4 linked regions of the Drosophila melanogaster genome follow. The protein of the gene in region 2 interacts with the protein of the main gene of each other region in a pairwise test. Each region holds a gene or a part of one and is shown on either strand. Other genes may lie near its edges. The genes, in order: rho-4, LysD, CG4586 and Rbp9.

What was found.
Region 1: the proteins of LysD (region 2) and rho-4 interact in a two-hybrid assay, tested with the Drosophila melanogaster proteins (one large-scale study listed by BioGRID).
Region 3: the proteins of LysD (region 2) and CG4586 interact in a two-hybrid assay, tested with the Drosophila melanogaster proteins (one large-scale study listed by BioGRID).
Region 4: the proteins of LysD (region 2) and Rbp9 interact in a two-hybrid assay, tested with the Drosophila melanogaster proteins (one large-scale study listed by BioGRID).

Annotation. Positions count from the first base shown.
Region 1 is NC_004354.4:11,596,411-11,607,480, forward strand, and holds rho-4 (rhomboid-4), read left to right. Parts: upstream 1-3,427; 5' UTR 3,428-3,676; coding exon 3,677-3,916; intron 3,917-6,832; exon of another isoform or gene 6,833-6,926; coding exon of another isoform or gene 6,927-7,469; exon of another isoform or gene 7,470-7,484; intron 7,485-7,664; exon of another isoform or gene 7,665-7,784; intron 7,785-7,901; coding exon 7,902-8,263; intron 8,264-8,325; coding exon 8,326-8,668; intron 8,669-8,727; coding exon 8,728-9,036; 3' UTR 9,037-9,878; downstream 9,879-11,070. Other genes in the region: CG2533 (uncharacterized protein), read right to left, coding at 6,927-7,469; CG2247 (uncharacterized protein), read right to left, coding at 10,373-11,070.
Region 2 is NT_037436.4:1,208,036-1,213,745, forward strand, and holds LysD (lysozyme D), read right to left. Parts: upstream 3,162-5,710; 5' UTR 3,143-3,161; coding exon 2,720-3,142; 3' UTR 2,682-2,719; downstream 1-2,681. Other genes in the region: LysE (lysozyme E), read left to right, coding at 4,917-5,339. UniProt on the Drosophila melanogaster protein: Unlikely to play an active role in the humoral immune defense. May have a function in the digestion of bacteria in the food.
Region 3 is NC_004354.4:6,966,063-6,974,077, forward strand, and holds CG4586 (uncharacterized protein), read left to right. Parts: upstream 1-3,855; 5' UTR 3,856-3,955; coding exon 3,956-4,914; intron 4,915-5,022; coding exon 5,023-6,097; 3' UTR 6,098-6,203; downstream 6,204-8,015. Other genes in the region: Setd3 (SET domain containing 3), read right to left, coding at 1,662-2,530; CG3040 (uncharacterized protein), read right to left, coding at 6,397-7,113.
Region 4 is NT_033779.5:2,951,687-2,959,737, forward strand, and holds the start of Rbp9 (RNA-binding protein 9), read left to right. Parts: upstream 1-3,075; 5' UTR 3,076-3,627; intron 3,628-3,693; 5' UTR 3,694-3,821; intron 3,822-5,224; exon of another isoform or gene 5,225-5,578; intron 5,579-7,460; exon of another isoform or gene 7,461-7,834; intron 7,835-8,051. Other genes in the region: lilli (lilliputian), read left to right, coding at 1-119, 191-341, 403-539.

The sequences.
Region 1 (11,070 bases), on a different chromosome or scaffold from region 2:
TCTCTTCTGGTTGATTTGGGCAGATTCATATATATATATGTATATAGGTATGTATGATCATACGATTAGCATACGAGATAAGCTGCCAATCCAATCCAAACACAAGGCGCTGGAAATCGGCATTCCATACACATTCCTACTCTCTTTTGGCTGGAAATCTTATCCGATTTCCCTCGCTTCAAACATCAAAATACTCTGTTTGGGTTTCCCGAGCGTTGATTCATTAATCTAGCCATGATATAACAACCAAAATAATATCAAGCTATAGAATATATTTTTTAAAGAAAAAAAATCAGTCTGCGGGCATCCAGTTCTCAGCGAGAACTTAGCGGCATCCAGCTAATGGAGGAGACAGTAGTGGCTTCGCCACAGCAGCCATGCCTTCGTCGTTCCGTACGTCTAGCGGGTAGGATGCGTTCGCAGAACTATAGAGCCATTCCCAAGGTTATGAATTTGCGGCGCAGCACGCGGCTGGCGGGAATCCGGGAACATGCCACCTCCGTTGTTGTGGAAAACGGGACGCGCCTTCAAAGTGCAGTCCAAAAGAAACGCACGCGAAAAGTGAAACCTGCGCCCAAGGCCTGGATGGCCAATAATACTAAATGTTTACTGGGCCATCTTAACAATGGAAACGTTAAGCAATTGCAGGAGATTCCAGGGATCGGTTCAAAGACCGCCTCTATTTTGGCCTTGCACAGGTCAGTTGACATACGTTCATTTGCGTTTTACCCAATAACCCTTAATCCTTAATCCACATTTTTCAGATCCCGCCTGGGTTGCTTCAAGAATCTAATTGAAGTCAAATCCCTGCCCATTTGGTCGGGAAATAAATGGAAACGATTTTCTCAAATTAACTGTCTTGACACTTGATACAATTACTAATTAAATAGCATTTTAATTCGAATATAGTATAGTGATTGTTATTTATGTGGCATATACTTTGATTTTACAACTATAGTAGGAGTAAAAAAAAAGGAGCCGGATATCCTTAAAGAAACAGTTATATATGTGATTTATTTTTTAAATAGGCTTACCTAGGATATATTATATAATATATTAAATTAACAAAACAAGTTGGCATTTTAAATTAAAGCACAAATTGATTGTTATAAAAGTATTAAACAAAAAAAACTAGTCAAAAAAGAAAAACTTTCAAATAAATGACTTATTAAAAGTGACCAAATAAATAATATTCATTAACTTTTTTTTTCAAATTTAACTCCCTTTCAGCGTTGCCAGATTGGGTTGCATGCGGGATTTGATTATTTTTATTCACAAATTCTGGGTAGAGGGCCACTTGTGCTGCTCCGGCAGCTGGTCACACTGTACAGTCGCGCAGTTTGGTTTCTTTGGTGCGAGAAGACGGTTGGTGTTGTTATTTTTTTTTTAGTTCGCTCCGCTGTTTTTAGGTGCTACGCGCTTTATGGCCCGCTCTTAATCTTATCGCAAATCAAATCAAACCGCGGCCAATGAGCACCGTAATTTCACTTTTTGGCTAACGGTAACGGCACTTCCGCTCTCCGAATTCGATATTCAAACAGTCGCATTCCATCGAAAAGCGAAACAAGAAGTGGCCGTAAAAATGACCGTGAAAACAGTGAATCGCCAGCAGAGCCAAACGCCCACCCAGCAACGGCAATTGCATCAGCAGCGGGACGTCGAGAATGGGCTCTATCCCACGATTTCGGACGGAATATGCCACATTATTATCGGATAGAATACAGGAAATGTAGGATTTAGGTAAGGGAATAATAAATTTCTAGTAGTTTTCAAGTCATTTTGGAGAGCACATAGTGGTTAATTCATGCACCATATTAATGCATGGGAAATTGGCGAAAAACAAACACTCAGCCGGCACTTCGCGGCACTCACACCTACACAATCATACGTGCGTGTGAATGAAGTTGCTTGTGCTTGTGGTGGTCTGCCCTGTTGCCGTCTTCTTCTCACCCTCGGTGAAAGTTGAGTTCAATGAATCATCTGAGCATCGATCCGCTATGGCGGCGATCTTCACTCTTCGCACTCACTCAACAGGGGGATTCTATCTACGAATCCATCAGTTTCGGCCGCTTCGATTCTAGTTTAGTTAGCACTCTCTTCTGGTTGATTTGGGCAGATTCATATATATATATGTATATAGGTATGTATGATCATACGATTAGCATACGAGATAAGCTGCCAATCCAATCCAAACACAAGGCGCTGGAAATCGGCATTCCATACACATTCCTACTCTCTTTTGGCTGGAAATCTTATCCGATTTCCCTCGCTTCAAACATCAAAATACTCTGTTTGGGTTTCCCGAGCGTTGATTCATTAATCTAGCCATGATATAACAACCAAAATAATATCAAGCTATAGAATATATTTTTTAAAGAAAAAAAATCAGTCTGCGGGCATCCAGTTCTCAGCGAGAACTTAGCGGCATCCAGCTAATGGAGGAGACAGTAGTGGCTTCGCCACAGCAGCCATGCCTTCGTCGTTCCGTACGTCTAGCGGGTAGGATGCGTTCGCAGAACTATAGAGCCATTCCCAAGGTTATGAATTTGCGGCGCAGCACGCGGCTGGCGGGAATCCGGGAACATGCCACCTCCGTTGTTGTGGAAAACGGGACGCGCCTTCAAAGTGCAGTCCAAAAGAAACGCACGCGAAAAGTGAAACCTGCGCCCAAGGCCTGGATGGCCAATAATACTAAATGTTTACTGGGCCATCTTAACAATGGAAACGTTAAGCAATTGCAGGAGATTCCAGGGATCGGTTCAAAGACCGCCTCTATTTTGGCCGTGCACAGGTCAGTTGACATACGTTCATTTGCGTTTTACCCAATAACCCTTAATCCTTAATCCACATTTTTCAGATCCCGCCTGGGTTGCTTCAAGAATCTAATTGAAGTCAAATCCCTGCCCATTTGGTCGGGAAATAAATGGAAACGATTTTCTCAAATTAACTGTCTTGACACTTGATACAATTACTAATTAAATAGCATTTTAATTCGAATATAGTATAGTGATTGTTATTTATGTGGCATATACTTTGATTTTACAACTATAGTAGGAGTAAAAAAAAAGGAGCCGGATATCCTTAAAGAAACAGTTATATATGTGATTTATTTTTTAAATAGGCTTACCTAGGATATATTATATAATATATTAAATTAACAAAACAAGTTGGCATTTTAAATTAAAGCACAAATTGATTGTTATAAAAGTATTAAACAAAAAAAACTAGTCAAAAAAGAAAAACTTTCAAATAAATGACTTATTAAAAGTGACCAAATAAATAATATTCATTAACTTTTTTTTTCAAATTTAACTCCCTTTCAGCGTTGCCAGATTGGGTTGCATGCGGGATTTGATTATTTTTATGCACAAATTCTGGGTAGAGAGCCACTTGTGCTGCTCCGGCAGCTGGTCACACTGTACAGTCGCGCAGTTTGGTTTCTTTGGTGCGAGAAGACGGTTGGTGTTGTTATTTTTTTTTTTAGTTCGCTCCGCTGTTTTTAGGTGCTACGCGCTTTATGGCCCGCTCTTAATCTTATCGCAAATCAAATCAAACCGCGGCCAATGAGCACCGTAATTTCACTTTTTGGCTAACGGTAACGGCACTTCCGCTCTCCGAATTCGATATTCAAACAGTCGCATTCCATCGAAAAGCGAAACAAGAAGTGGCCGCAAAAATGCCCGTGAAAACAGTGAATCGCCAGCAGAGCCAAACGCCCGCCCAACAACTGCAATTGCAGCAGCAGCGGGACGTCGAGAATGGGCTCTATCCCACGATTCCGGCCGAGCGACGATCGCCCCCCTCGCGTCCGCAAACGCTGCGACAGGACACCATCGATATGGAGGAAATACCGCTCAATCAGACGAACAGCCAGGAGCCAGAGGATCGGCGCAAAATGCACGAGATATTTGACAAGGTATGTAGGACTTATAATACTCGCAATTCCCTTCCCCAGCACAAGTGGCAGCTCCTCCTAAGTATTAGATCTTTTCTGGTTTGTAGAGCCAGCTAACCAAGTAGTAGCCATGGTAACTATACCTATAAAGGTATTACTGTTCACACGGTGTTACAACTTAGCACTATATCTTTAAAGTAAATCTATGATGATTTAACGTTGATTTAATAGTTATGCCACATTATTATCGGATAGAATACAGGAAATGTAGGATTTAGGTAAGGGAATAATAAATTTCTATTAGTTTTCAAGTCATTTTGGAGAGCACATAGTGGTTAATTCATTAGTTAGAACCAGCTACGACTAATTATCCCATTTAAACTGGCTGGTGGTAGGCAACAGAAGGTTAATGCTGAGATCTTGTGAAATTGCACCATATTAATGCATGGGAAATTCGCGAAAAACAGAAGAACGACTGTAATTAAAACACACAGCCGGCACTTCGCGGCACTCACACACACACACTCATACGTGCGTGTGAATGAAGTTGCTTGTGCTTGTGTGGTCGGCCCTGTTGCCGTCTTCTTCTCACCCTCGGTGAAAGTTGAGTTCGATGAATCATCTGAGCATCGATCCGCTATGGCGGCGCTCTTCACTCTTCGCACTCTCCCAAGAAAACCCCACCTTTAACCCTTCAATGGGCCGGCGGGCGAAAACCGACACGATCAGATGCTTTTGTTTGCAAACATGCCAGTGGAACAAACTTAAGGTATACATTATTAAAAAAAAACCTTGTATCTTGTGGTGATTAATAAATACGTGAGATTTGATTCCCGTTTAACATTAATGGGTTAAGAATTCGATTATAGTGCCTAAATAATCAACTGCTATATGTACTTATATCATACAAGCATAATTACACTTTTCGGTGTATTTAACCCATCACCGCTTGTCTGTCAGTCAATTTTGCACTTTCGCAGAATTCCGTATCACATTTTATAAGCTTTTTTTCGCTGCAGTTTGTTTTCTTAAAGTAGAAAAATCGTGTGTGCTGCAAAAAAAAATGGGGGGGAGGGTGGTTGCCTACTGTTGGGGGACTGAGTTTTCTTATCGTGACAGAGGGTTGGGGGAAAAAGACCAGCAAAAAAAGAAGAAGAAAAACCGGTTATAAATTATTGTTTGTTCGCTTTGAGTTCTGCCTTTGTTGTTGTTGTTGCTCTTGCTTTATTCTTGGTGGCGTTAGTCACTTAACCCCCAACTGACACCCACCGCCCACCTGTTTGCCCGAGTGTTACCATTATCAATTTAACAATTTGTGGATTTCGTCTTTTTTAATTCTACCAGTGCGATTGCCTCAACGTGCAACGTCCTCTTGATTCACCATTTGTTTATAGCCATATAGAGTGTGTAGCGTTCATATCGCGTTCAATGTACCCCGGCAACAAGGGGATTCTATCTACGAATCCATCAGTTTTGGCCGCTTCGATTCCAGTTTAGTTAGCACTCTCTCCTGGTTGATTTGGACAGATACGTATATATGTATGTATATAGGTATTCTAACCATACGATTAGCATACAAGATGAGCTGCCAATCCAATCCAAACACATTCGATGCCGCTGGAAATCGGCATTCCAGACACATTCCTATTCTCTTTTGGCTGGAAATCTTATCTGAATTCCCTCGCTACAAACATTCAAGTGGCCAAAATACTCTGCTTGGGTTTTCCGAGCGTTGATTCAATAATCTAGCCATGATATAACAACCAAAATAATAGCAAGCTATAGAACATATTTTGTCAAAAAAAAAAAAATCACCAATCTCAACCAACATTATTCGTTGGAAAGTTCAACTTGAACCCGGAGGGGACTGTATCATTTTGATATTTTTGAAATATCATGTTTGATATGTCACAGATAACAGTCTTTCTGATATGGGAAAATAGCAGATAGATGACCATTTTCGTTGATATTTTTATTCATTGAGCTGTGCAAAAGAGTAAATCTTAAGTTGTCTGTTGGCTAATATAGGAAAGTTTTGGAACTTCAGGTGTTCCAATGGTTTTACAATTAACTTTTTCCGAAAACCATATTTTTTACAAACTGACCAAGTGGCTTTCGTGTGTTCCGAACACACTTGACGACTATGACTAAGTCCCAATCCCCGCGAGACTCCGTTACCGCTGGCAGCTTATCGCCTGGTTTTGATAATAACCAACTTTTTGGTTTTGTTTTTTCCCCCTGTTCTGTTTTATTTTAAGAACACCTAAAGGTGTAAAATATTAGTTTACGACTGGAAAGGAGGATACATATTTATGTGCATGTACATACATGGGCACCTATCTAATTGTCTATAGTATATGCCAATGTCTTTCCTCTTTTTTTTTGCGTGAATCTAACTTTTAAGTGCGAGCGTTGACTTTTCGCTGGGTTTTCTTTGTTATCCCAGTTCCTAGTTATTTACTTTACTAAATACCTTAACCATACTTAAAAGGTCAGTGCGCATAGCTTACCTATGACAAATGTTTTTTATGATCGAAAACCGAGAATACAAAGCGATAAGACAGTAACATCCATATAGGGACTTTCTATTGGCGAAATGGCAATTGAGAATTTCGAACTTCTGAAAGGAATAGGTGACAAATGTTTTTTTTTTAGCAAAATCCTTTTGTATTTACCAATGGGGATTATTGACGTTTTGCAAAAACCATCAGTTGCGTTTAGTTCACAATAACTTTGGATGCCTTTGTGCAACTTCATGTGACTTTGTTTCGATTTGTTTTCGATTAGCCCCGTTTTGGATTTCTAGTTTCTCGTCTCGATCTGTGGCATTTATTCCTGCCCATTTATGGCCACTTTTTGGTCCGACAGCGTTCGCGGCTGTGTTGCAAGTGCTGATGGTGATGCAATCAAAAAGGAGGAAAATCACTCAACAAACATAATAATATGTGGGTACTTGTTTATTTGTGAACTCATGCTGCAGGTTTGAGTGTGTTACGCTATGATTTAGAATAGTTCCTCGGGTGAATGAGATTCATTCGGAGTCTAAGGGAAGGTCAAAGAAAGTGGAATTTTGGCTCTTGGGGGCGAGGCAACTGGTGGCCTGCTCCTCCTCTGGCGCATCCACAGCATCGTGCCAATCCTGGGAATCGTGCTCCTCCTGCTCCTTCTGATCCGTTAGCTGGAGCAGACGCATCCGCAAGCGCTGCTCTTCCAGTTGAATGACTGAAGGCCTAGGAGCAGCCACTTCGCGAATAAGCGATGGCATGGCGGTCGTCCAGTTTGGCAGCAGAGTTAACCCCGTTGCCCTGCCCTGCCGCTCCAGACGCTGCAACTGGCGGCGCTCCATGGCCATCAGTTCCCGCTTGGCCCGGGCCCGCACCTGGTCGTCGCTGGTCGTGGTGCAGAGACTCAGGGCCGCAAAGATGCCGGCCATGCCCAGGTAGAGAACCAGTACGGTCACAATGCCGGACGATTCCTGCAGCGGCTCCTCCTCCTCCGCGACGTCGCATGTGGGCGTCGGTGTCCAGCCAAGCCAAGAGGTCACGTGGCGGGTCATCTCCATCAGTTGCGACATCGTTCTCGGTTGAATCTTGAGGCGAAGATACAAATATATATAATATATGTATGGTTTATACTAAATAATTATGTCATTAACCGATGACACCAAGCAAATGGTAGTTTCTTTACTTCCTTCTAGGGAAATGTATTCAGTAGTTTATTTTTATTACAGCCTAGTTTTAAAAGGTAGGATGAATGCGCTGATATGTACCCAATTGTAATCGGTGTTTCCAAGATGTTGTATTTCAAGATTTTTTGGATTCGGTGCGGGCCTGCCCGACCACTCGGAATTTCAGCTAGGTACTGAGTGTTCGAATCCCTAATGTTTTCGAACCCCCATGACGCTTTAGTATATGGCCTACTGTGTTTAAATGTTGACTTACCCAGATTCTATGTGTGAGCTTAATCATGATGACTAACCAACCATATGTATATGCCTCTCACACAGCACGACTCTGACAGAGATGGGCTGATCAACACGCACGAGCTGAAGGAACTGATCTCGGATGGCTATTGCCGGGACATTCCCGCCTACATCGCCGACCAGATCCTGAAGCGCAGCGATCAGGATAACGACGGCCACCTGGACTTCGAGGAATTCTATGCGATGTCCCTGCGCCACAAGTGGATGGTGCGCAACATGCTGACCCGCTACTGTCGCTACGTTGTGCCGCCACCGAAGCCCTTAGAGGGCGATGAGCCCGACGGTGCCTACGAGAAGCAAATGTCCATCTGCCCGCCGCCGCTCACCATGGTGCTCTTCTCGATTATCGAGATAATCATGTTCCTCGTGGACGTCATACATTTCCAGTGAGTAGTGATGGTACAATTGGTTGTATATGATAATAACACTAGTAATCTGCTATGTTCAGGGACGATCCCAACTACCAGGATCGCATAGGCGAGAGCACAAGTGGACCAGCGGCCACCCTGTTCATCTACAATCCGTACAAGCGCTATGAGGGATGGCGCTTTGTTAGCTACATGTTCGTTCACGTGGGCATCATGCATCTGATGATGAACCTGATTATCCAGATCTTTCTGGGCATCGCCCTGGAGCTGGTGCATCACTGGTGGCGCGTGGGTCTGGTCTACCTGGCTGGCGTGTTAGCCGGTTCCATGGGCACCTCGCTAACCAGTCCTCGCATCTTTCTAGCGGGCGCATCGGGTGGAGTATACGCACTGATCACAGCCCACATTGCCACGATAATTATGGTAAGTCTTTGTTATACTATTTGATATTATTCCATAATTACCTTATGGTCGCCAAACAGAACTACTCGGAAATGGAGTACGCCATTGTCCAGCTGCTGGCCTTTCTGGTCTTCTGCTTCACCGACTTGGGTACCTCGGTGTACCGCCACTTGACCGACCAGCACGATCAGATTGGCTATGTGGCGCATTTGTCCGGTGCCGTCGCCGGTTTGCTGGTGGGGATCGGTGTGCTGCGCAATTTGGAGGTGCGGCGATGGGAGCGCATTCTCTGGTGGGTCGCCGTCATCGTTTACTTTGCCCTCATGACCACTGGCATCATCATACACGTGTTTGTTCCCGACTACTTCCCAAAACAGGAGTACAACTAGCCCCATCACTAGCTCTAGCCCTAGCCCTAACCCTTAACCATGTCCAAAGTGCACTTCGATATTGAGCCGAGGTTGCAGTACGCACAGTACTATATATAGGATTTCTTCTGACCATGTGCCTATGCCAGCTGCAAAAATAATTTATTTTTTTACAACTTGCCATGTCAGCTTCATTCCCAATCCGAAAGTGGTGCAAGCATGTCGTACGTATTTTTATATATTTATATACATACATACATATATAGTAACGTAATTATGCCTTCCTCATAATTCTCTTATACAAAAGACCGACCGCGGTGGTCCGCCGTATCGATTCCTTGTTACTCGATATTGCGCATCCACTTAAGCCGTAACCAAAACCCAGACACTAGGCAGGCACATACATAGCCACGTAGCACATAAGAATTCTTTTTCATATGTATGCACAAAAGCATAAGCAAGAAGCGCTCTCGCGCAGATCAAGTAAACAACCCACTAACCAAGTACATTTAAGATTTTCTCACACCATTTGTTTCAGTCTTAAGCTGATATTCAATCAATAAAAACGCAAAGCGAATTCATTCGAAGTTTTTATTCATTTCGGTTCAAATACGGATCATTTATTCGACTCAAAAGCAAAAATTATTTTACTATATGTATTCTCGATCCACATGACGCGACGCGGCGCAACGAAATGTCGACGGAGAACAAAACTCAGAGCTGCATTTGTATTACACATTTCGTTGACATTTTTTTTTTTTCAAGAAAAACGAGAAATATCTTTAAACAAAGTGTACTGTATATTTTTGGAGATTTATTATTAAGATCTTATATATTTAAATGTAATAAAAACAATGTCTTTGTACGAAGAAGATGGGTGTTTTGCGTATGATTTTTATTTTTTTAATTGTGTCATTCATGTTCAAATGTAATGAGTACAACTTTGATCTTGCCTTCGTAGGACCAGCAAGACCAGGCAGAACTACTTACACGCAATCTTACATAAGTACTATATTTTTATAGTGAAATTTATAGTTCACTTCCCAAAACAGTGGTTTAAGTCGATTTAGTATGATCCAGCAATTAACCCATTTATTTATTATGTTTACATGTTTTTCTTTTCTGTTCATTACAAGCTGTCAATTTGTAAGCAGCGTCGCTTGATTGCATCGTTCACAGCTTGGGACAAAGTAATGTACTGAATGTCGTTCAAAGATATTGTTGAGAGTGTGTTTAAATGTGGTGTTCGGAGGTGATGCTTCTCGAGAAGACTCAGTCTTGGCATTCTCTGCTACTGGGAGGGCTTATATATGAGCTAACTTATGGCACCTAGGAATAACTAGTGCGTTAAACGTTCTTACTTGTTTTTCAACTGTGGCCGTTTGAGGAAGGTAACCATGGTGCTGTTGAACATGTTCACCTTAACAAACGTAACAAATGTTGTTGGTGCCACATCGCGCAGTATCATCAGCAAGCGCTTGGCGGGCAGAAAGGTAACGCATTCCGTGTGGTCCGTTTCAATGCAACGGTCATCGGGAGCACAATAATTAAGGTCATCGTCCAGCGGAATTCCCGGTACAGGGCGCTCCACGGGGATCACATCCTTCTTACTTCCCCTGTACAGCTCACCCGTTGCACTCAACAGCTGGGTAACCAATCCTAGGCGGAACACGCGAAGCTGCGAGGCATTCTCGCGAACGGCCCGCATTACGGAATAGATCACGTTGGCCGAATTTTGAAGACACTTTGGGACGAGCAACAGGTGCGTAACAGTGGTGCACATTCCAATCAACGAAGTTAGAAGGTCATCCACCTCGACGTTCACCAGCTCCAGTTGCTGTACCGAACAAGCAGCGGCTACACCACACATAATGTGGTACAGCGGAAAAGTGGTATTGATCATGTGCTTGTTCTCCAAGCGGAGCCTGCGTAGAGACGTTAAAAAGGGCAGCACTTGCTGGCCAAATTCCTCGGTATCCATGCCCTGGCATGAAGACAACACTAGCACCTTCAGGTTAACTAGTTTCTTCAAGAAGCGGAAGTCCTGCGAGCCTA
Region 2 (5,710 bases):
CTGTGCCCCGAGAACATTATCCTATAATGATGGACGCTTTCAAGCACTCTTCTTAACTGCGATTCCGATTCCTTGGTAGAGCCACTCTGAATTGGCGAAATGAGGCTCATTTCTAATGGGGCATGGGGCATTTCCACATTCTTGTAACTAATCACAGTTTGTGGTTGTGCTCTGAGAATCGAAGATTCCCTCGGGCGCCTGACAGTCTTCATTAATTCGGAGGTGTGCAGTTGCTACCGTTGCTCGCGAGCTCAAAAGTCTTATACAGGGGGTCTTATACAACAGACGCTCTTGTTCGCGCTCTCGCTCTCTGCACGATCTCTCCTTCGGCTAGCACTTCGGGTTCAAGCTCGTCTTGGGTTCAGGCCAAGTTTCAACTTCGGATTAGTTGGTGCGTGACATTTGTTCGAGGCGGACGTGTAGATCGCAAGTGCGTACTTGAATCTCGGCTTTGGTTGGCAATTAGGCGAGCGATGGCTTAGCTAGATGTTCCAGAGGTCTAGCCAAGTTCAATCGACAGATCGACGAGCAGCCACAGTGGGTCCTGCGATCCCAAGCGGTAGTGAACTTCCATTCCCATCTGCAATAGCTCCTGAGCGTTGAGTGTCACTGACGATTACGCGATATGAATTTTCCTATTGTGTATTCTCGGAAGAAACGAGTTTGATTTGATAGAAAAGTGCGCTTTTGGCCCCGGTCCCCAACCCAACCAACTGTCTTCCCCCACCCCACGCGGCTCTTCTTGGCTAACAGCATCGCGAGTGGAGTGCATTCTGCTGCTAACGGTAAAACGAGTACTGGACCCGGCTAGAACTGGCCCCAACTGGCCTATTGCAGCATCTACCATAATAATAAGAGTGGTTCTTGCTCCGCGCTAATCTCCTCAATTTATGCCTCTGCCCGATGACGACGCAAAGTGCAATGCGGCTGGAGTGGTAGTGGATGCTAGCCATCGAATTTGAGAACGTTCTGTTGTGGCCCAATTCGGAATCGTGTCAATTCGCTGTACTCGTACCTGGATTTCGGAGCAGGAGCGGAGGAGCCCAGAGGGGATAGGCGAAATAGGTAAGCCAGTTTTCACCCAACTAAGCCAGAGGGTCAGGCTTTCGTTAGCCACTCGCTCGGAAGACCCACTTGGTCAAGATCCAGATGGGATCTGCTCTTTCTGCTCTTTCTGCCTTATGCGCATGCTAATGGGCTCCGACTTTCTTTTAACTGCTGCCCAAATCTAGATGTGTAGGTAAATCCCCGTGTGGGCAGTTCTGACATTGAACTGTGACGCCCACACCATCAACAACTGGGATAGAAACTCTCGAGCGTTCCGAGCAAAGAACCCAACGAAGAGGTGGCATAAAAGTCGTTAAGACTGGTGCGTGTGCGTTATAAAAGTATGAAAACAAATTACGTTTAACTGTACTCATGGAAATTGAAGTGAAAATTGAATTGGCAGCGGCACGAGACTTCAAAGTCTCCGGAGCAGCCCCAATCCGAGTAACAATGCCACTTTGTCCAGACGCGAGAAGACAAAGAAGAGCCCACAAAAGAAACTAGATTGTAAATAAATAAATAAATAACAGTCATACTCGGGGCCCAAACTGAAAAATGAAAAGGCGACTGTGTGCCGAACTACAGAAAAATCTGTTCCGGTCTGATTTAACAATTGTTAAACAGCTTATGCATTGGCCACGGTCTGGAGTCCAAAGGGAGGAGTACGAGTAGGTGGCTAATGGCTGCACGCAACCCAGCGAGTGGCCAACTTACTTTCAGCCATACCCGAAAAAGAAATTTCTTTCTTCACGCGATTTTGCGGTGGCAAAGCCATTCTTTTTGCCACCTCCTTATGGACTTAGACTTCCTTCTTTCAAAACTGCATCACAGCCACATTAGTCAGTCCATCACCAGATGTTGGACACCTTGACGGGCACTGACAAATGAAGCAATTGCTTGCTGGCACTGGGATTGGTATTGGGTAACCGCACTGGGGCAATAATGGCATGGAGGGGCCCTGAGCCTCGGGCCTTTGTTAGACCCAGACTAATTGAAGCCAATGGGCCACCGAGCCGAGAGGCTGAAGGGCCATAATTGAGATCTGAGATCAAAAGGGCAATTGGCCAAACAAACAGTCCTCCGTATCACCAAAGCTGCTTCCACCAATTGGCATCCATTCATAGCAGGTGGACTTGAAACTTGTAATACGTCAAAACAACTGCGAGGGGGTTCACCGACGAATTTCCGTAAGACTTTATTCATATTATCGAATACTTCACTCGAATTATCAATGGAATTATCAATATGGTCTGATTACCAAGAGATTCTTTGCGACACGTCCAGATTACCCACACCCATCAATACTGTGAAAATACTCCACAGATAACACTACGGCTAGATAATTTTCCGGCTATAAAAGCGCCCTGTCCACAGGAATCCCACATCAGTTTCAATTCGAATCATGAAGGCTTTCATCGTTCTGGTTGCCCTGGCCTGTGCCGCCCCAGCTTTCGGTCGCACCATGGACCGTTGCTCCCTGGCCCGCGAGATGTCCAACCTGGGCGTTCCCCGCGACCAGCTGAACAAGTGAGCCTGCATTGCCGAGCACGAGTCCTCCTACCGCACCGGAGTGGTTGGTCCTGAGAACTACAACGGCTCCAACGACTACGGAATCTTCCAGATCAACGACTACTACTGGTGCGCAATCGTTTTAATCGGGGTCAAAATCAGTTTAGAAGCAGTCATCGATGGACGGCAACCATCCGCTGCAGTAGTGCCAGGTGGACCAGGCGGACCATCCCTGCTGGCTGAGGACCTTCTGGGCACAACGGACGGAGTGGGTGATGTCGTCGGTCAGGAGAGCGTTGCAGCTCAATCCGCATTCGTTGTAGGAGAAGCGACCGCTGGGAGGAGCGCACCAGTAGTAGTCGTTGATCTGGAAGATTCCGTAGTCGTTGGAGCCGTTGTAGTTCTCGGGACCAACCACTCCGGTGCGGTAGGAGGACTCGTGCTCGGCAATACAGGCCCAACGAGCCAATTGGTCACGAGGAACGCCCAGGTTGGACATCTCGCGGGCCAGGGAGCAACGGTCCATGGTGCGACCGAAAGCTGGGGCGGCACAGGCCAGGGCAACCAGAACGATGAAAGCCTTCATGATTCGAATTGAAACTAATGACGGGAGGGAGCGTAGGCCGTGCTTTTATAGGGCGGTATTATCTTAACTGGTAGATCTTCACAATGTTATTATCTCAAGTGCGCCGCGAAGTCTTTAGCTACTTATGTATATTATCGCAAGTGCACACGAGACAGTAAATAACTGGCTATTGCAAATGGCCAGACGCAAGCTCATCAATCTACATCGCTTATCAGCACCTAGCAAATGGTCTCAAGCCGCTCCCTGAAGATTCGCAAGCATAGACGTAGGTAAAAAGTAGATTAGCCCCATCCCAGCCAGCAAGACCCTTGGGTTTTTAGAGCAAGTGGTATTAATTTTCTGACTTAAACGTTGGCTATCCGAGCCATTAACCTTGTTAGCATCTCCGCTAGCTTTTGGAGTGGGCAATTACGAGTCGTTGGTGGGCAGAAGCTCCACTTTGGTGCACCTGAGTGAGCTGTAACTGGACAGAGAGTGCGAGCTAAAAAGAACTCTATTTGGTGCGGGCTGGTTCATCTCTTGTAACGGGCGTGCGTTCAATCGCCAAGCCACTGGCTCTTCAAAGACCCCAAGGCTACCACACATCATCAACAGTCACAACAACCTGGCTGCACATTGCTTTCTCGGTGGATGAAGCGGATGGAGTGGATGGAGTTGGAGTTGAGACTCAAGTACCGACTCTGACTAACGACCCGACCACAAGTATGCAAACTGCGGGCTGTTACATTAACCCCATTCGTCTCCGCGGGGAGGGGCTCTTAGCGGTACTCCTGGGGGTTACCAGTGGGCCTAAAACCAGGCGCGTCTGGTGGGGGCAGGTTGGGAGCCCAGATTTCCACTGATTTGTGCAATGCCAAGAAAGTTGTTAACCTTTCGCGTGTGGCTAACAGCAAAGACAAATGACAAAAGGCTTCTGTGGAGGCATTCGAAAGACGCCAGTTGCGAGATTTTTGTGGAGGAAAGGGAGGCCCCAAGACAAAGTCGTTTCAGGTGGTTGGAGCTCTCCAGCTTGCCAGCGTGACCTTCTTAGAGTCCCATGAATTATAGATGAATTCATAAATGAATGCTGGTTGGTGAGCGAGTGGGGCGCTCATCGGCGAGATGAGTTGTAGATTCTTTTGTCGGCGGAGAATGCTGCTTATCACTTTTACTTTTTGCTGATTTATTGAATCGCCGCTGTATAACTAATAGCTTTTCTATCCCCGAAGTGTGTCAGCTAACAGTTCTGACCAAGAAGAATTTTCTGACGACCAGACCAGACCTCATTGCATATGCATGAGTTCTCTTTGGAACTTTGTGCCTGTGGAACTGACAATCGACCCAGGCCAATTAAATCTCATTTCCATAAATTTTGTCGCTAATTGTCAGCCGAACTTTGAGAACTTTTGGGAACTGTTAGGATAATGGCCACGAATCTTTAAAGATGGTACAAGAAGCCGCCATAGCTGTTCTTGCCCTCTTAAAACGGCTTTCCATCCCATTTAGTAAGTAATCACAGTCAGTCGAACTAAAAATGGCCAACGTTAAAGAAATCTGTAAACAAACTTCGCTGATAAGGTCGCGTAACGTATCTGATTTGGAACCATTCGCTACACCTAAGTCCTTATCGCTGAATTTTCATGGCTAATGAAGGGGCGATTGACAGCCGCAATATGGTGATCACCTTATCACGGTTGAGTACTTATACGTTCTTCTTAATAAGGTGATGGTTCAGGGTATATAAGGGCCCATTGCGAGGACCTCTCCATCAGTTTACTGTGGTATTCAAATCAAAATGAAGGCCTTCATCGTTCTGGTTGCCCTGGCTATGGCCGCTCCTGCTCTTGGTCGCACCTTGGACCGTTGCTCCCTGGCCCGCGAGATGTCCAACCTGGGCGTTCCTCGTGACCAATTGGCTCGTTGGGCCTGTATTGCCGAGCACGAGTCCTCCTACCGCACCGGAGTGGTGGGTCCTGAGAACTACAACGGCTCCAACGACTACGGAATCTTCCAGATCAACAACTACTACTGGTGCGCTCCTCCCAGCGGTCGCTTCTCCTACAACGAGTGCGGATTGAGCTGCAACGCCCTCTTGACCGACGACATCACCCACTCCGTTCGTTGCGCCCAGAAGGTCCTTAGCCAGCAGGGATGGTCCGCCTGGTCCACCTGGCACTACTGCAGCGGATGGTTGCCGTCCATCGATGGCTGCTTCTAAACCGATTTCGACCCTGAATAAAAATTTAGCTCAAAAAAATATTCATCCTTAGACTTTCTATATCTTTGCTTTTTCAAAATTCAAAAATTATTTCAATTTCACCGTGTGTTCCTTTACATCAAAAGATACACAGAAATGAACTTAACTATTGATGAATGTGTGACATATTTTGCATGAGCCGATCACTTTCTAAGTTTGTGAATAGAATTTTATTGGAATTCGCTAATCAACTTGAAAGCGTCTCTTCGGCAAAAAAAAGTCATTAATATATGCGACAAAAATAAACATTTTTAAAACAAACAAAGATAAAAGCATCGGTTGTCCATAAAATTAGCTAGTTGCTGTTCGCAACTCTTTCCCAAAAGAAAGTA
Region 3 (8,015 bases), on a different chromosome or scaffold from region 2:
GGCATGGCCATAAGGCGCTTTGTAAGAAAAGGTTCAAAAAGATTGTGCAGACATACAGTTTAAAAAGAATAGTGTTCATTTTTAAATATTTTCATGACAGATTGGAATGTAAACTGTATAGTCCACTTTATGTTATTTATTTTTACTTTATTTATTTTCTGATTCATTTGTATCGTTGTAGACCGCAAAACCTAGTTCAATCCGCCCTACGTTTATGGCGCGCACTGTTGCTAGTCTCTAAGCTCGGCAAACTATCGTTTCCAACTATCTAGACCTAATGTACGATTATGATCCATCAACTAACGCGACTCTATCAACTAAATCATAGGACACGGCATTCAAATGGGTTTCTTAGCACGAGATAAAGACGAAAACTAACTTAAATACAGAACAACAGAACAGGATCTTAGCCAAACAAGGTACAGTTGTGTTCAGACACTTTCCCAAAAAAAGGCCCAAATCGAATAAATATTGAAATTCGAGAAAGCAAAATAAAACCATTTATGAGGACAATAAATATTAATGAGGAAATTACGAAAACAAAATAAATAAAAACCAAAAGAAAATGAAGAAAACTGTGTTCGATACGATTTAACTGAAGCAAACTTCTTTCTGGCACTGACTAAAATACCAAAATTTAATTGAATTTAGATCAAGGCAAGGCATAAATGGGCGCTATGTGGGCGTGGTCATTAGCACAACAATACCAACAGCAACAACAACAACAACACTAATATTTTAAATGCGCAAAATGTACTGCAAAAACCAAGAAGTGAAAATAGATGAAACACCTGTATTTATTTCGTAGTGCAGGCACTTTATTTTTGATTTGATTTTCGTTACCACCCCCGCCCCTCTCACTAGGCAGTAGAACATCTGGCGACAGTATATATATATATATATATATATTTATATATATAAATATAATTATATATTTAAGCACGCTCAAATATGTATGTAAATAAGTTTCAATTTGATTTTTTTGAGAAATAAAATGTAGAACAAATTGTGGCAAAGATTTCAAGCATTTCGAAAGCACTTGACTAACCGCATGACTCGCTGGGGTTTTCGACCACAACCGAAGATTGGTGTCGAAATCGCGGCACTATAAATACAGAAGCGAGTGGAGAACCAGAACCACAACCACAACCAGACCCATCCCAGTGCACCATGACCCAGCCGTCGCAAGTGGAAGCGGATCCGTAAATAGATCGTAGATCTTCGGCAAAACAATGCGATCACAATGCCAGACGGGAAGGTCAACAATGGTCGGGCAATCTGGCCATATGCATCTACTCTCGCTTTAAAACAAACAGCACCAGCTGTAAGTGAACATGTAATTTATGGCCAGTGGGACAACTGGCAGATTCAGAGGCCTCTCTGCAGCAAAAACAAGCCCAAACTAAACCGAAAAACACACTTAGGGAAAGATCAACACGAGGGCAGGATTTAAAAATGGAATTCCGGAAAGGTATACAATATTTCTATTTCTAGGCCAACTGAAAAGATCTTCAGAGCAGAAAACTTGGCCTTAAGCCATCTTTTTAGCACAGAATCATATTTCTTCTTAAACTTAGTAGAACAAACTTTAAAAGTAGCGATATTTTTTTAAGGCACCTTTAGCACCTTTATTGCAATCCCAAATCTCAATCGAAACTCACCTGTATAGCTTGTAGCAGAGTCCGTGCTGCGTGAAAAAGAGGCCTCTTTCGCCCGGATGGCTCCTGTTCCCGGTGCTCGGCTCAGTCATGGTGTGGGCGTACTTGTAGAGGAAGGCGTACTGCTTGGCGATGACGCGACACTGACGCATTGCCAGAGCGGCTGCAGCGGTGCCCCGGAGGAGCTCCATCTGCTTGGTGGTAAAGTATAGCACGGTGTTGTATTTGGCAGGCAGAACATCAATGTAGGGCCGCCACTCGCTGAACTCGCCACGGATCTTCTCGATGACCAGATCATAGGCCAGGTTCAAGTGGGTGGCCTGCGTCATTTTGCCAAATAGGCGGCAATCGGAGTTGTTTTCCTCGGATAAGATGAGCTTCCGGGGCACGCTGAGCACCAGCTCATCCTTGGCCAACGGTCGGGTGGCCCGCAGACCCAGTTGGTAGCCGGGAAAGATGGCTATCTCCAGTCCCTCACTGTGAACTCCGCCATCTTTGGCCCACGCACTGAACGCCTCCACTTTGGCCAGACGGGTCTGATCGTCGGGGGAATCGCTGATCTGCGGACACACTGCTTGGCTGAGTGGCTCCTCCAGGATCATGATTTGTTTGAGCAGCTCCTGTAGCTGCCCGTACTGCTTCCATTCCTCGTTGGGATTCGCCGGTTGCTTTTCCACCAAGTCAAGCAGTTCCTCGACGAGCTTGTTTAGTTGGCTCCTCTTTTTGCCGTTTAAACTGGGCAACGAACTGGCCGCCTGCTGGTCCTCAAAATCCTCGACTGCTGTGCCGGATGCGGATGCAGTTACTCCGTTTTGTTGTGGCTGCTGTTGCTGCTGTTTTGTCTTCTTGTTGCGCTTCGTGTTCTTACCCATGGCGGTGCCGTTGGTGGGAGCGAGAGAGAAAGACAGAGAGAGAGGAAGACAGAAAGCTAAGCGGTACCGGCGGCCCAAAACAACAACAGCCAAATAAGGAAAATAAAGTCGAGAAATCTGCACGCGGGCGATCAGCTGGCCGGCAGTGTGGCCATTCGTCGGGCGCCACTAAATTACTCCGACAATTGGTCACACATTCGACGAGCTTTTATGCTGAAAACTTTTTAATAGGGGTACTCCTAAGCTTTTTTTTATTACAAAACTTATGTTTTCTTGTAAAATAAATTGTAATTCACGTTGCATTTTTGGCACATCAATAATATTATAATAATTACTCTTTATAGTTATTAAAATGGCCAGTGTTTTTTTATATTTTATGTTGCATTCTTGAAGAGCGGGAAATTTAAATTGAGAATTTGTCCTAAAATCCAGGTTGCAGAAGCTCGTATGTATAATAATATATTTATTTATTTATATAAATAAAATCGCTCTTTCCATGTCTTTTAGTTTCTATTTATAAACAATTTGACAATGGCCCATAGGGTTATCTTAGATTTTCTAAACGTCATCCAATTGAGAAACGTTATGTTGATAACAAGAAATCCACGAAATAAAAATGTTATTGTACGAAAAAGAAATAATTGTTTGTTGAGCTTTGTGGGTTTTTGCAAAACAAAAACAACAAGAAATATTTACGATTTTCTTATCTACGGTAAAAAAAACTTGAACTAAAAAACTAGGAGATAATGCCGCTCATCAGATGTTTACGCACTTTGTGCCATTTTTGGCTAGGGTGGACCAACACACAAATCAGCGTTTGAGTTAATAGTAAGAAACAAATTCCGTCCAAATATACAACCTAGGATACGAAATCTAAAACATGATAAGTGCATCTTGTAAGAAAGACGCAGTTTGAGAAACTTTCGACAAATACGGAATATGGTCCACCCTAAGGCGCTCAAGCAATTTGAGAGTGGCTCAGTTCTCAGTTCAGTGACTCCAATGCAGCAACAACGGCGGTTGGAGCACCAGCGGGCAGAGCGCGAAAGAGAGGCAGTGGTGGGGCTCCAAAGGCGTAGGCAGGATGGACCATCCAAAGGGGTTCCAGATCGCCTCTTCTGTATAAGTTATCCATAAATAGCTTATACACTGCATCCTTTATGAGTATAATGTGGTAAATGTATAAAGAATCCCGGTATATTAATTGGCAACTCATCTTTAATTTCGGATCACTGATAACCAACCATATTCCCCTGCTATCCCCGCCTTTGGTGACCTGGCTGCCATGTTTCGAGCTGCAGAACTGTTTCTTCCAGCCACCAACTTCTCAGTGCAATCGAGTCGTTCGAGCAGAGAAGTTGGGAAATCCCGTAGAAAAGTAAAACTCTAGGAAAAGAGAGATCGGGAAGGAGAGATAGAGCGATCATGTCTGTGAATGCGGATCTGCAGAGAGAGCGGGCGGCGGCCACCTTGGACAGCGAGGACTTTGCCCGCTGGTGGGCGGGTGGCTCTGGGCAGCTGGAGGAGCGCCGCGCCCTGGAAAGGCGTTTCTATGAGGATCCCGACTTCGCGGAGCCAGTGCATCCGAGCTGTCTGTCATACAAGGAGCGCTACGAACAGACCGTGGCCCGATCCACACGCTTCCTGGCCAAACTGCGCCAATGGCAGCGGGAGAAGCAGCCACAACTTCAGCTTAGTGTGAATATGCTGAGGGACTTTCGGCTGCTACTCTCCGGATCCCTGGGCACGGGCCTCTTCCAGCAGAGCTTCCCCCTTCGGGTGCATTTCTCCATGTTCATGACCACCTTGCTGAGCCAGGGAACCGAGGAGCAGCAGGCCCAGTGGCTCAATCGATCCTGGCACATGGACGGCGTCCTGGGCACCTATGCGCAAACGGAGCTGGGTCACGGCACCTTTGTCCGGGGCCTGGAAACCCGAGCCGACTACGATCCCATCACGCAGGAATTCATCCTGAACACCCCAACGCAAAGTTCATACAAGTGGTGGCCCGGCGGACTTGGTAATACCGCCAATGTGGCCATTGTGCTGGCCCAGCTATATGTGAAGGGCAAGCATTATGGCTTGCAATCATTTGTGGTGAGGATCAGGGACGAGAGGACACACGAACCGTTGACTGGAGTCGATGTGGGCGATATAGGACCTCGCCTGGGTGGCAATGGCGTTAACAACGGCTTTCTGGGACTCCGCGACGTGCGGATACCGCGCAATCAAATGCTGATGAAGAACGCCCAAGTCCTGACCGACGGCACCTTCGTCCAGGGTAGACCTCCGCTGCTGCTCTACGGCACAATGGTCTATGTGCGGGTAATTACCGTGAAGGATGTGCTCTTTGGACTGCTCCAGGCTGCCACCATTGCCACCAGGTGATTATATAGTTTCTGGGGATTATGTTTATCATAGCTGTTATTAAGCCCATAAAACACATTCAGCTCACCCAGGGTTCTTTAGATAATAATTATCATTATCTTTAGGTATTCCGTGGTGCGTCGCCAGAGCCGGATTAACAGCGATCAGCCGGAGGTCTCTGTTTTGGATCACATCACACAGCAGGCAAAGATTCTACCGCAAATTGCTCGAGGAGTGTCCTATCGCCTGGTATCCGATTGGCTGTGGCGCTTCTACGAGGACGTACTCCGCCAACTGGAGGATGAAAGCACGAAAGGACGCAACTCCCTGCCGGAGCTGCACGCCCTGAGCTGCTGCCTCAAGGCGGTGGCCACCGACGAGGCCAGCGAGGGAGTTGATCTGCTGCGCAAGAGTTGCGGTGGCCACGGATTCCTTTCCTCGGCGAATTTCGATAGCATCTATGGTCTGACCGCCGCCACATACACCTACGAGGGAGAGTACACAGTACTCCTGCTCCAGACAGCTCGTTTCCTCGTCCGGCAGTATGCGGATAGCTTAAAACGCAAGGTGCTGCCCTCCAGTGTCTCCTATTTGAGGGATACAGCCCGTTTGATTTGGGGCAAGAATCTGGTTGCGAATTGTGTGCGAGCGCTGGAGATTTCAGCCATGGAGCAGGTGCGTGATGCTTGGCAGACCCAGAAGATGCACCAATCCGGCAAGGTGAGTCCCGAGATGGCCAGCAATCTGGCTGGAAGGCAGCTCACCTCGGCTGCCATAGCCCATGCTCACGCATTCTTCACACGCAATGCACTGGAGCAAGTGGAAGCACTTCGAAAGAAGGGCGATCTTAGCCCGAATGTCTCACTCATCTTGGGCCAACTGGTTGAGCTTTTCGTCATCGATACATTCCTGCGACAGTCGGGATGCGTGCTGCGTTGGAACAACGGCATCACTGGCACCCAACTGCGCTTCGTGGAGCGTCGCTTTGAGGAGCTGCTGGCCAAGCTGCGACCCAATGCGGTGGCTCTGGTGGATGGATTCGATTTTCACGATCGTGTCCTGGGCTCCACGCTGGGGTGTCACGATGGCCGGGTGTACGAGCGTCTCATGGAGGAGGCACGCCGAAATCCGATCAACCAGGAGCCGGTCAACTCGTCCTTCCACAACCACTTGTTGCCCATGATGCGGGGAAAGCTGTGATGTGGGGCTGGTCTTTTGTTTTCTACATACGTATATGTTATTCACTAATTTTTGTATTGAAGTTGAATCATAACATTTTTTTTTAATAAAGGAAATAGGATTTCGCAATTGTTTGTTATTTTGCACTTACCATTTTCAAACTAACTTACTTGCTCGCCCTTGTTAAAGTTGTCTTTTTCCGATTTATTCGTATCGTTTTACACATTACACATATTGAATTAAGCTATTAAATTAGTTTACTCGGATAAATAAAGGCTGGGGTACACACAAAAAAAAAAGGGATTTGATCTGAATCGAGTCTAGAACATCTTCTTCCTGACCGCCGTATACCGCTCCATGTAGACATCGTAGCCATCGAGATCGGTGAACTGTTTCGAGTTGAACAGATTGCCGTCGACGGCCAGGTTGCAGATTTTCGAGTCCTTGAGGATCTTGGGTGTAAAGGCCGCTGCCTGAAGGCAGTTCTCCTCGAGCCGCAGTGTCTTCAGCTTGGGACAATCGGCTACTTCCTCCGCCAGCGAGGATATTTGGTTCTGGTTAAGGTTCAGTTCGGTCACAAACAGTCCGCCCACATCGGCGGGCACATCGGTGATCTTGTTCCTGGACAGGTCCAGGACATCCAGCTGCTTCAGACCGCACAGCATGGAGGGGAACTCCTTCAGCTGATTGTTGCTCAGATTCACGGTCTTCAGGTGCGTGCAATTGGCCAGGGTTTTGGGCAGCCTTGTCAGCATATTGTCCATCAGCAACAGCACCTCCAGCTTGGCCAGTTCGCCCACCACCTCGTTGAGTTCCACCAGTCGATTTCCGCTTAGATTGAGGTGCTTGAGTAGCGTCAGCTTGCCCAGTTCGTCGGGCACACGTTCGAAGCGATTCTCGGAGAGATCCAGGGTTTTCAGGACATTCGGGTAGGCCCTTAGCTGCAGTGGGAATTCTTGCAGCCGCTGCAAGGATATCTTCAGGATTCCCGTCTTCTGGGCCGTCTCCAGTTGTTGTTTTATCTGTTTATTGCCCATTGTAGCAGGGGTCTCTCCAGGGAATTCAAGGTTTTTCGCCTAATTAAGAGGTGGGCGGGTCGACTGATGACAAATCCAGATCTCACACTCTTCCTGCGCGGTATGTGTGCTCCGCTATCCTCGTTGTGCTTGCGTTTTACAGCAAACAAAACACTTTAACTAGCCAATTTAATTTTTATTTATTTATTTCTCTCCTGAGAAATATACCAGATGTGCAGAAAATGTGCCTAAAAATGCCATTGATTCGATGACAAAATGGATTAGAACTCAGATAGATATCTAGTGATGACGCAACCCTAAAGATTTAGCCGAGACAACTATTTCAAACACTGAAAACAATTTCATACTCTTTGGCTTAGGTAGTTACGATAAGTAAGCTTTTTATGCCCAAAACAAAATACAAAAAGTTTATTGTAAAATCGAACATAAACATGTCATATTTTTGCCAGTTGTAAAAAGTTTTTTATTTCATATTATATTTTAGTTTTATATAAAACCTTAGCAATTCTCGCCTAAAACTACACAATAAACTTAACATAGCGCATTTAATTCTCATTTGTATCCCCAAAAAAACTGTATGTGTAATGCAAGCAATATTATGTTATGAAAGACTCAAAGCAATATTTATTTGTTATTATATTTTCGGTTGGTTCCGAAGCGTTCAAACATTACTCCATATTATGCAAAAATAGTATCTCTTCATATTTTTCTGGGGGTCTACTATCTTTTTTTTAGCGATGTTTCCTATTTATACATAAGAACTAGGTATTAAATTAGATTTTATAATTAGGAAAAAAAAGATTTTGTCTGCAGAAAAAAACACAAGGAAAATCTCATCATTTTTTTTTTTTTTGTTTTGTTTGTTTGTCTTGTTATCATTGATGGAAAATCAAAAATAAAAA
Region 4 (8,051 bases), on a different chromosome or scaffold from region 2:
GAAAGGATTGTCGGGCCATTATCAACAGTCTAACAGATTTCTTTCGCGTTGGCAGGGGGGACATTGCCAACGGCAACACGCCGTCCTCCATATCACCATCGAACTCGGTGGGCTCGCAGGTGAGTCTCTCAGTTGGCAGCTACTCATGTGCGGATTTCGTTTATTCATTGCGGCTTTTCTCTGTTTTCAGGGCTCCGGTTCGAATACGCCGCCAGGCAGAATAGTGCCTCCAGATATACACAATATGCTGTGCAAGCAGAATGAGTTTCTGAGCTATCTAAATAGCGCTCACGAGTTGTGGGATCAAGCCGATCGATTGGTGCGCACAGGCAATCATATAGGTGAGTTGTTTAGGCGTCCGCCTAATGATATATATTAATGATCAATGTCTGAATCCATTAGATTTCATCCGAGAACTGGATCACGAGAACGGCCCGCTGACGCTGCATAGCACCATGCACGAGGTGTTCCGGTACGTGCAGGCGGGTCTCAAGACGCTCAGGGATGCCGTGTCGCATCCGACGCATCAGTCGCAGTAGCGACAGCGGCAATATCAACCGCAAACGCAACGGAAGCGTTGGCGGAGGCGGAGGCGAAGGCGGAGACGGAAGCACCACCAAACGTGTCTAAATGAAAGTCAGGCCAAATTAGCAACTATTATCTACTACAAGCTACTAATTTAGTTAGTCAAGATGAGGAGGAGGAGTAACGAATGAAATGAAATCGAAACCAACAACCTTCCAACAGAACGATTATAACCACAACAAAAACAACACAAAAATTTGATTTGTTAATACTTTATAATTTATATATGTATGTAATTGTATATGCACACCATTTACTTATTTCCTTATGCTCAATTTTCGATTGTTTAAGCATGTTAAGCTTTATATTTATGCCTAGTTTTAATTGATATTACCACAAAGAAAAACAAAAACACACATTAAAAGTTATATTAGCTCTACGTCTAGTCTGTAAGCTCAAAAACGAAAACCCAACCAGCCCACCCCCCCCCCCCCCCGCCCACCCTACCCCCTTTTCCTGTTACCCAAAAACATAAACATTTTAGTTGAATTTTGTTTTCGTATGCGTACAGTAAGGAAGATGAACGGCTTTTTAAATTGTTTAAGTTTTAGTTAATTTTACTTTGCAGCCTTGGTAAAGAAAAATGTTAGCAAATATAATTATACATATTATGGCATATATAAAGAAAAGTTATAGTTATAAATTCTTTATAATATTTCTATATGAATTATGTTTAACGCAACTATTTTATTAATTTTAAATTAATTTTTAAAAAGCAATCACAACACGTTTTTAGAACAAAATACATGAATGAAAACAATATATATTTATATTAATATATATTTCAAATATATACACGCAATTGTATTTCTCTTTTGGTTTTATTTCTTTCAACCCATCCATAAAACCACCTCATCCACAGTCTATTCCCAACATAATTCATAAATTCATAATGGGTGCCTCAAAACTCTCACACAGACGCAACAACTAATAGTGCATTAGTAGACTTAAACGAGTTAAAAATCAATCGAAATAGACTTGCCCTCGAAATAGTTATATAAGCTGTACATATAGCCGCCAGTATACAAGAAATATATTTTTAAATGCCAAAAAGTGAGCGCTGTAAACTACTTTAAGCCAACTTCAATCAGCAGAATTTGAAAATGAGTGGGGATTGGGATAGGATGGTACGATGGTAGGATGGTAGGATTCTGGAATACATTCATATATTGACCGAGTTGAGCAGCCAGCATTTTCTTGTTGACTTTTATTTTGGCATGTACGAAATCGAAACTACGAAAATCAAAGCAAAAATGTAACGAAAAACAAAACGGAAAGCAAAACAAAGTAAGAAAGAATATTAAATTAATATTAGTAATGGTTCTGGGGAAACAAGGCATTCGCTCGCATTCGACAAATGAAACCGAAAACAAACATTTAAATTGTAGACAAATTTTAAGTTATCACTAAAATGACGAGTGCCGAATGCCGATGGAGAATTTGCGCAACTTTATTGTGCAGTGCAACTACATAAGTGTAATTATTATAAATTGGTACACATGCATACATATGTATTGTTAATTATTAAAACGATGTAAATAATACAATTACGTAGGCGGGAAGACACGGACACAAACATGCATATAATTAAAGTAAGCATAATTACATGCCTAACTATAAATAACTATATATTGGTATATATAAAGATATATAATATATATATATTTTTATATATATACACGATGAATTAAACTAAACAACGTAGAAATCATAGTTAAATTTTTTCGAAGTGACAAGATTAACGTGCAGCAATAAGCAACCGACAAGAACAACAACAACAACCACAACAACAACAAAAACAAACGAAACGCGCCTAGTAATAGTTAATAATTCTATTTTGTTAAGCGTTATTGTAGTGAAACGAAACAAAAGAAAACCAAACAAAAACAAAAACAAAACCGAACCGACAGATCGAACAGCAAAACCAACAGAATTAAGTTTTAAGCTGGACTTTGGAACGTGGAAAGCGAGTAGAAAACCAAAATGAATGCAAAACATGTTGTTCATTGACAAAGCTAAAAGTAAATATATATTTTGTACAAATATAATTAAATTCAGCCGCAGCTAAAACCAAGTACACTTATTAAAGTTTAAGCAACAACAGAACAACAACCAATTTAATATGCAATTACCGTAACAGTAGTTGATAAATCGAACGAATAAAACATCAAAAATTGTAACATTTACATAACTGCCTTTTGTGTCTTGCTTTTTTTTAACACTATGGATGGTTGTAATAACGGAAGGAGATGCTTTAAAAATTCAGTGTGACCAGGCAAGGTTATAAATTCATGTCCATCTGTTTCAAACAAAAGCTGGAAATTCTTAACTCCTGTTCCTTAGGGGAACACTTGAAGCCGAATGCAATTAAAACGATTTCTTATCTTGATAATGCTCATGACGAAAGGAAGTTTCGATCAATACGAGAAAAACTTTTTGCATGATTAATCGATCAGTGCTGGTAAGTCGCCAAAGTAGTCTGTCAGTGTTAGCAACTCAACGTGTTACTTGCTGTGCTTTCGACAGCGTGGTGTCGATTCTTCGAATTCATCGTTTACAACTTCATCATAAGGAATGCAAAATCAAAGCGATTTTGTGGGTGAGATCCCCAGGTACACTCGCAACAAGAGAAGGCAATATCAGCGCCAACGACGTAAGGCACATCCGCAAATTCCAGGGGTATTAACAGGAGGACCAGAGCCAGAGAAAGTCAACAATTGTCAGAGAAAGAGACCCATCAAGGGCCACGTGTATGACTCCACCAGCGAGGAGGATATGACCATCAAACGTAAGCATACAGACGCCTCGTGGTACAAGGTTCAAGTTAAATGCGAGAATGTGTCCCCGAACATCGAGGAGAAGCACGGCAACAAGATCAAGCAGCCTTCCTTAGCGTGGAACAACAACAGGAAGCCCAATAAAGGGGATCTACCACAACCACCGCTATCTTGGCTTTATCCCAACCAATCTAGGGGCTTTTATGACAACCAAAGCTGGAACTCTGGCGGCTCACGTCAGAATCAGTCGCAGTGGGAAGCACCAGTAAGCTGAAAATCAATTATTCATTTAAATAATTAAATTAACCGAATTTTATATGCACATCCGCAGAGGCAAGAACATTCATCTTCAGCTCAAGGCCGTAGTGCCAGGAACCCATATCTGAACCCTATTCAGGAATCCTGCAATGGGCGTTATATTATTGAACATCAATGGAACACGACCATTATCCATCACAAGTAAGGTAAGGCAACAAGAATGAATTACATAAAAACCTATTCGCTAAAGAAGATTTAACACAGCCACTTATTGTACACAAATCTATAGTATGTCATTTATAACTACATCGTGGGGATTTTCCCGATTTCCCAAACACAGGACATTTTCATGAAAGGGCCTTACATGTCTGATCAGTTAGGTAAGGGTTAAAAGCGCAACATTTTGAGATGCATTGGGCCCCAACACCTATGCAAAGTGAGTGCATGCATGTGGGTTGCTGTTATTGTGATGGTGTGCAAGCAGCAACAAAACAAACCGCATATAAATAAGGAGAGCGAGGTATTGTTGCATACTTGTAGGCAGCGGGATGGGGGTGGAGCTGTTCTGTTCCATCCGCTCGCAAAGTTCAATGGTCTTTTGACACAAATGATGATGATGTCAAGTTGAGCTCGTCCTACGCTCCTGCCTTGCTCTCTCTCTCTCTGATGCTCTTTCTAGCTTGCGCTCTTGGGTTTAAAGCCCCTCTGGCACCTTCCCTTCAGTCAGCAGCCGTTGTTGTTGTTGCTTAAGTGTTTGTTTGGGTGCCGTGCTGGCTCTCTCAGCTCCAACAACAGCAATGCGGCCGGCTTACGAGCCCCGGCTCTCTTCGCCTCTTTTGGAGCTCGCTCTTTGCCGAACGGAGAACCTACCGCAATTCGTTTCGTGTTCACGGCTGCATTTCCTTGTTTATGTTTTGCGAAGCCAAATGTAGGGTACATCGGTTAAGTGCCGAGCCAGGAGAAAGAGAGAGCGAGCGAACGAGTACCGTTATGTTGCCGGAGCTGTTGCAGGCTGCGCAACTTGCGGCTGCAGCTTTTTATTATTTGCCTTCTTCTTCGCGACCGTTACTTCTCGCATGGTACAATGGTGCAACTGTGCCCAAGCTGTATATTGAAAATAAAACAGCACTTCTGCATCTCACTGATGTGCAATGGCATTTAAGCTTATCCTGAAACGTGTCAGGTGCATTTACTTATTTCTATACATTTACAAATTGTTGCATAGGTTGTCTTTTGAGTTTAGTTGGGACCGAAATCCATTATTTCAAATAAAATAGAACAACATTTTGGATATAACAATACATATTTAGCATATGTCAGGTCAGTCTAATATTATTATCTATATTTGCAACACAAGAAAGTAGAAGGGTTAAAGTTCGCGCTCAATGTTTGAATTTGTCCCACTGTGCATGCGAGAGCAAAACTACGCAGTTATGCTGTGCATTCGCCACCGCCCCCCTCCCGCCCTCTGCAGGGCCGTGCTCAACTGTACGCCAATTGGAGGAGAGGAGGAGCTCTGCCGCTGGGGCCGCGGACTGCGGCGCGGCAGCGCTGTCACGGGTCCTGGCTGCAGTTATCCTGGCGGCAATCGAACACTTTAATCATTTAGTTCTTGCACTCTCCGGCAGCAAGTTGTGTTTTTTGATTCTCGTCGTATTGTCGTCGTTTCTGAATTGTTGTATATCGGTATCAAAATACACACATCTTGCATACTCACGCAACTACGCCCACATACACATATACATGTACGTGTGTCCAATTGCACGTAGTGTGGAATCCGAATCAGTATCGAAATCAGTTCGAAAACCCTTAGTGTGTGCGTGCTCAATTCAGTTTTCAAATTGAAACTACATCATTTGCAACGAAGAACATTTTCCAGTCCCAGTTCCAGAACCATTTTCTTTCGAGTCGAGTTGGGAAAATCGGTGTTGTATGCTTTGCGGCGCTGGCGAATAAATGTAAGCGAACAGAGAAGAATGCTACGGATATGTAGTTACAGTTACAGTTACACCATTTTATTTGCAAAAGTGCCCACACCCAAAGTCGATTTTTCGCCTGCATTCGTATGTGTGCGAATAGTAAAACGGAGCTCAATGGGGCGGCTTGCAGTCGGCGAAATCTCAATTTCTCTACACTCTGATATATATTTGCCGCCTACACACACACACAAGCACACAGAAGTCCATGCAGCTGCGTTTCGTGCAGCGCCGGCATCGCAGTTTTCATTTCGCTGCCTGCAGCCGCCATTTAACCTAAAAAACGCCGCACAGGAGCGGTTTCTTCAGAGGGAGTCGATCCCCAAAAATAATGATTTATTGACCTGTTTTCCATATAAAAGTTTCCTTAAAGCTAGTTCGTACAAATGTGGCACAAAGTTCCCTTGATTAGATGTAGATTTTCAAATGGTAGAAGTTCGAGAACTTGTTACAAGACTTGAAATTTTCTAGTGCAATTATCGGATTTATTTATTTTAAAAGAAATTCTTTAATTTCCGTAGTAGGATTTCTGAGAGATTATTGGAGCCCCTGATCTCGGAGGGACCCCTTCGAGACGGCCCTGCTTAGGCAGCGCAGTTGCCGTCGACGACGACGCCAGCTTGCAGTTAAGCTCGCTCTCTGGCTCCCATTCTCTCTCTGTGGCGCTCAATAGCCATTGCATATCTTGTGGCGCGCTCAGCTGACTGCTGCGCTTTCGCTGCAGCCTGCGCTCTCACTGTCTCTCCCGCTCTATCTCTCCGCCCATATATCCTGTTTATTTTTGCCGCACCCAAATCAAATGCATACGGCCTCAGCCGCCGTCCTTATAAGTTCCTCTACTTTGCTGACCCGTTACTTGTCCAGAACTCCTTCGCTCGCTCTCTCTCTCTGTCTCTCCTTTCATCCGCTGCCTTTGCCTTTGCCAAGGTGTGTCACTTTTTTGTTTTGTTCCTGCCCTTTGAACACTTCTTCCCCATTCTTCCAGTATTCGTAAGTGTGAGTGCGTGTGTGTGTGTGTGTCTGCATAGGTATGTGCCATCAAATCCATCAATTAGCCGGAAACAATTTCCAACTATTTATGAATGAAAATTAATGGTTGCGCCCCCTTATTTTGGGGGCGTGAATCGAAAGAGGAGGAAAGAGGAAGCTTCCTTCGGTTGACTGAAAACAGAAAAGGACTTCAGGAGCTACCAAAAAGTTTAAGAAATTTAAAGGAGTGTCAGATATTCTTAAAGAGTGTAAAAAAACTGATTCTATATTGATGCAGTCTATGAGGTCTAATATATGGTACAGTTTTTTAATTAACATATTAATGTACACATTAGTTTACGGTTAATTATTAAATAGTAGATAGGACAAACGCACTTACCATGACCGGAAGGCGGCTTATTTGAGCAACTGCTTTGCAAAACAGATTTCCCCGATTATGCGCAGCTGTCTTTGGAACCAGAAATGCATTCGTAACTTTGGAGTCAAGCAGATACTCTGTCGAATTTCGATTTAAAAGAAGTTCCCATAACGCAATTATAGAAATACTGTGCACGTAAGTGTGTATGTTTGCGCAAAATCCAATTATAAATTACCTCCGCCGTCGAGCATCTGAGGAATCCACCTTGCGGATATATGTGCTCGTGCTGTAGGAAAACATATAGCCGTGTAAGTTTGATCCATTCCCATCGGGTGGCTTTCTCTTCCCCGAGCGGGCGAAGAGCGCTCGACAATGACGAATTCTGTTTCTGGCCAAGAAGCGGCGCTCTCTTGTAGCTCTTGGGGCTCTGCTCTCCCGATTCTTGGACATGAGGCAGCAGTACGATTGCCCTCGTCGGTGGGGCATAAAAATAATTTCCACGCCGCTCGGCAAATCAGTTTATTTCTGTTCTGTTGAGTTGCAGGAACGCGTTCTTTTCTACTTTCCGTTCGGTTTTATTTCCTTATTATTATTGTTATTACGAATTAGTTTCACGTTTCGGTTTGGCTTGGTTTTTCATTTTTCAAACGGCACACACCATCAACACAAATTGATCAATAATATTCCAGATATTATTTGCTTCGGTTATTTCTATTTGAATGAGTGCAACTCTTCCGTTTGTCTCGCCTTATGTTTTGTGGAGCGCTTTCTCGTTCGGTTATTATTAAAAATATAAAACCAAACATCGCCAGAAAATTGTTTCGTAATCGCGTAGGAATCTACTGATTAGCAACCAGTTTCATTTGATTTTCCCCGTACAGAAATCAAAGGTAATGTCGGAAATCTCTTCTCACTTTATGTAATCCGAACATATATTCCAATATTTTTGCATTTCCCTGAGTCGCTGGTAACAAGCTACACTTAACCTCAAACACATAACGTCAGCATCTCTCGCATCAGCTGCGATCAGATCGGCCAGATCGTTGTAGCCTCAGAAATATTTTCGAAAATATAATCCCGCCGGCTACGCAGCGGCGCAATTCTACG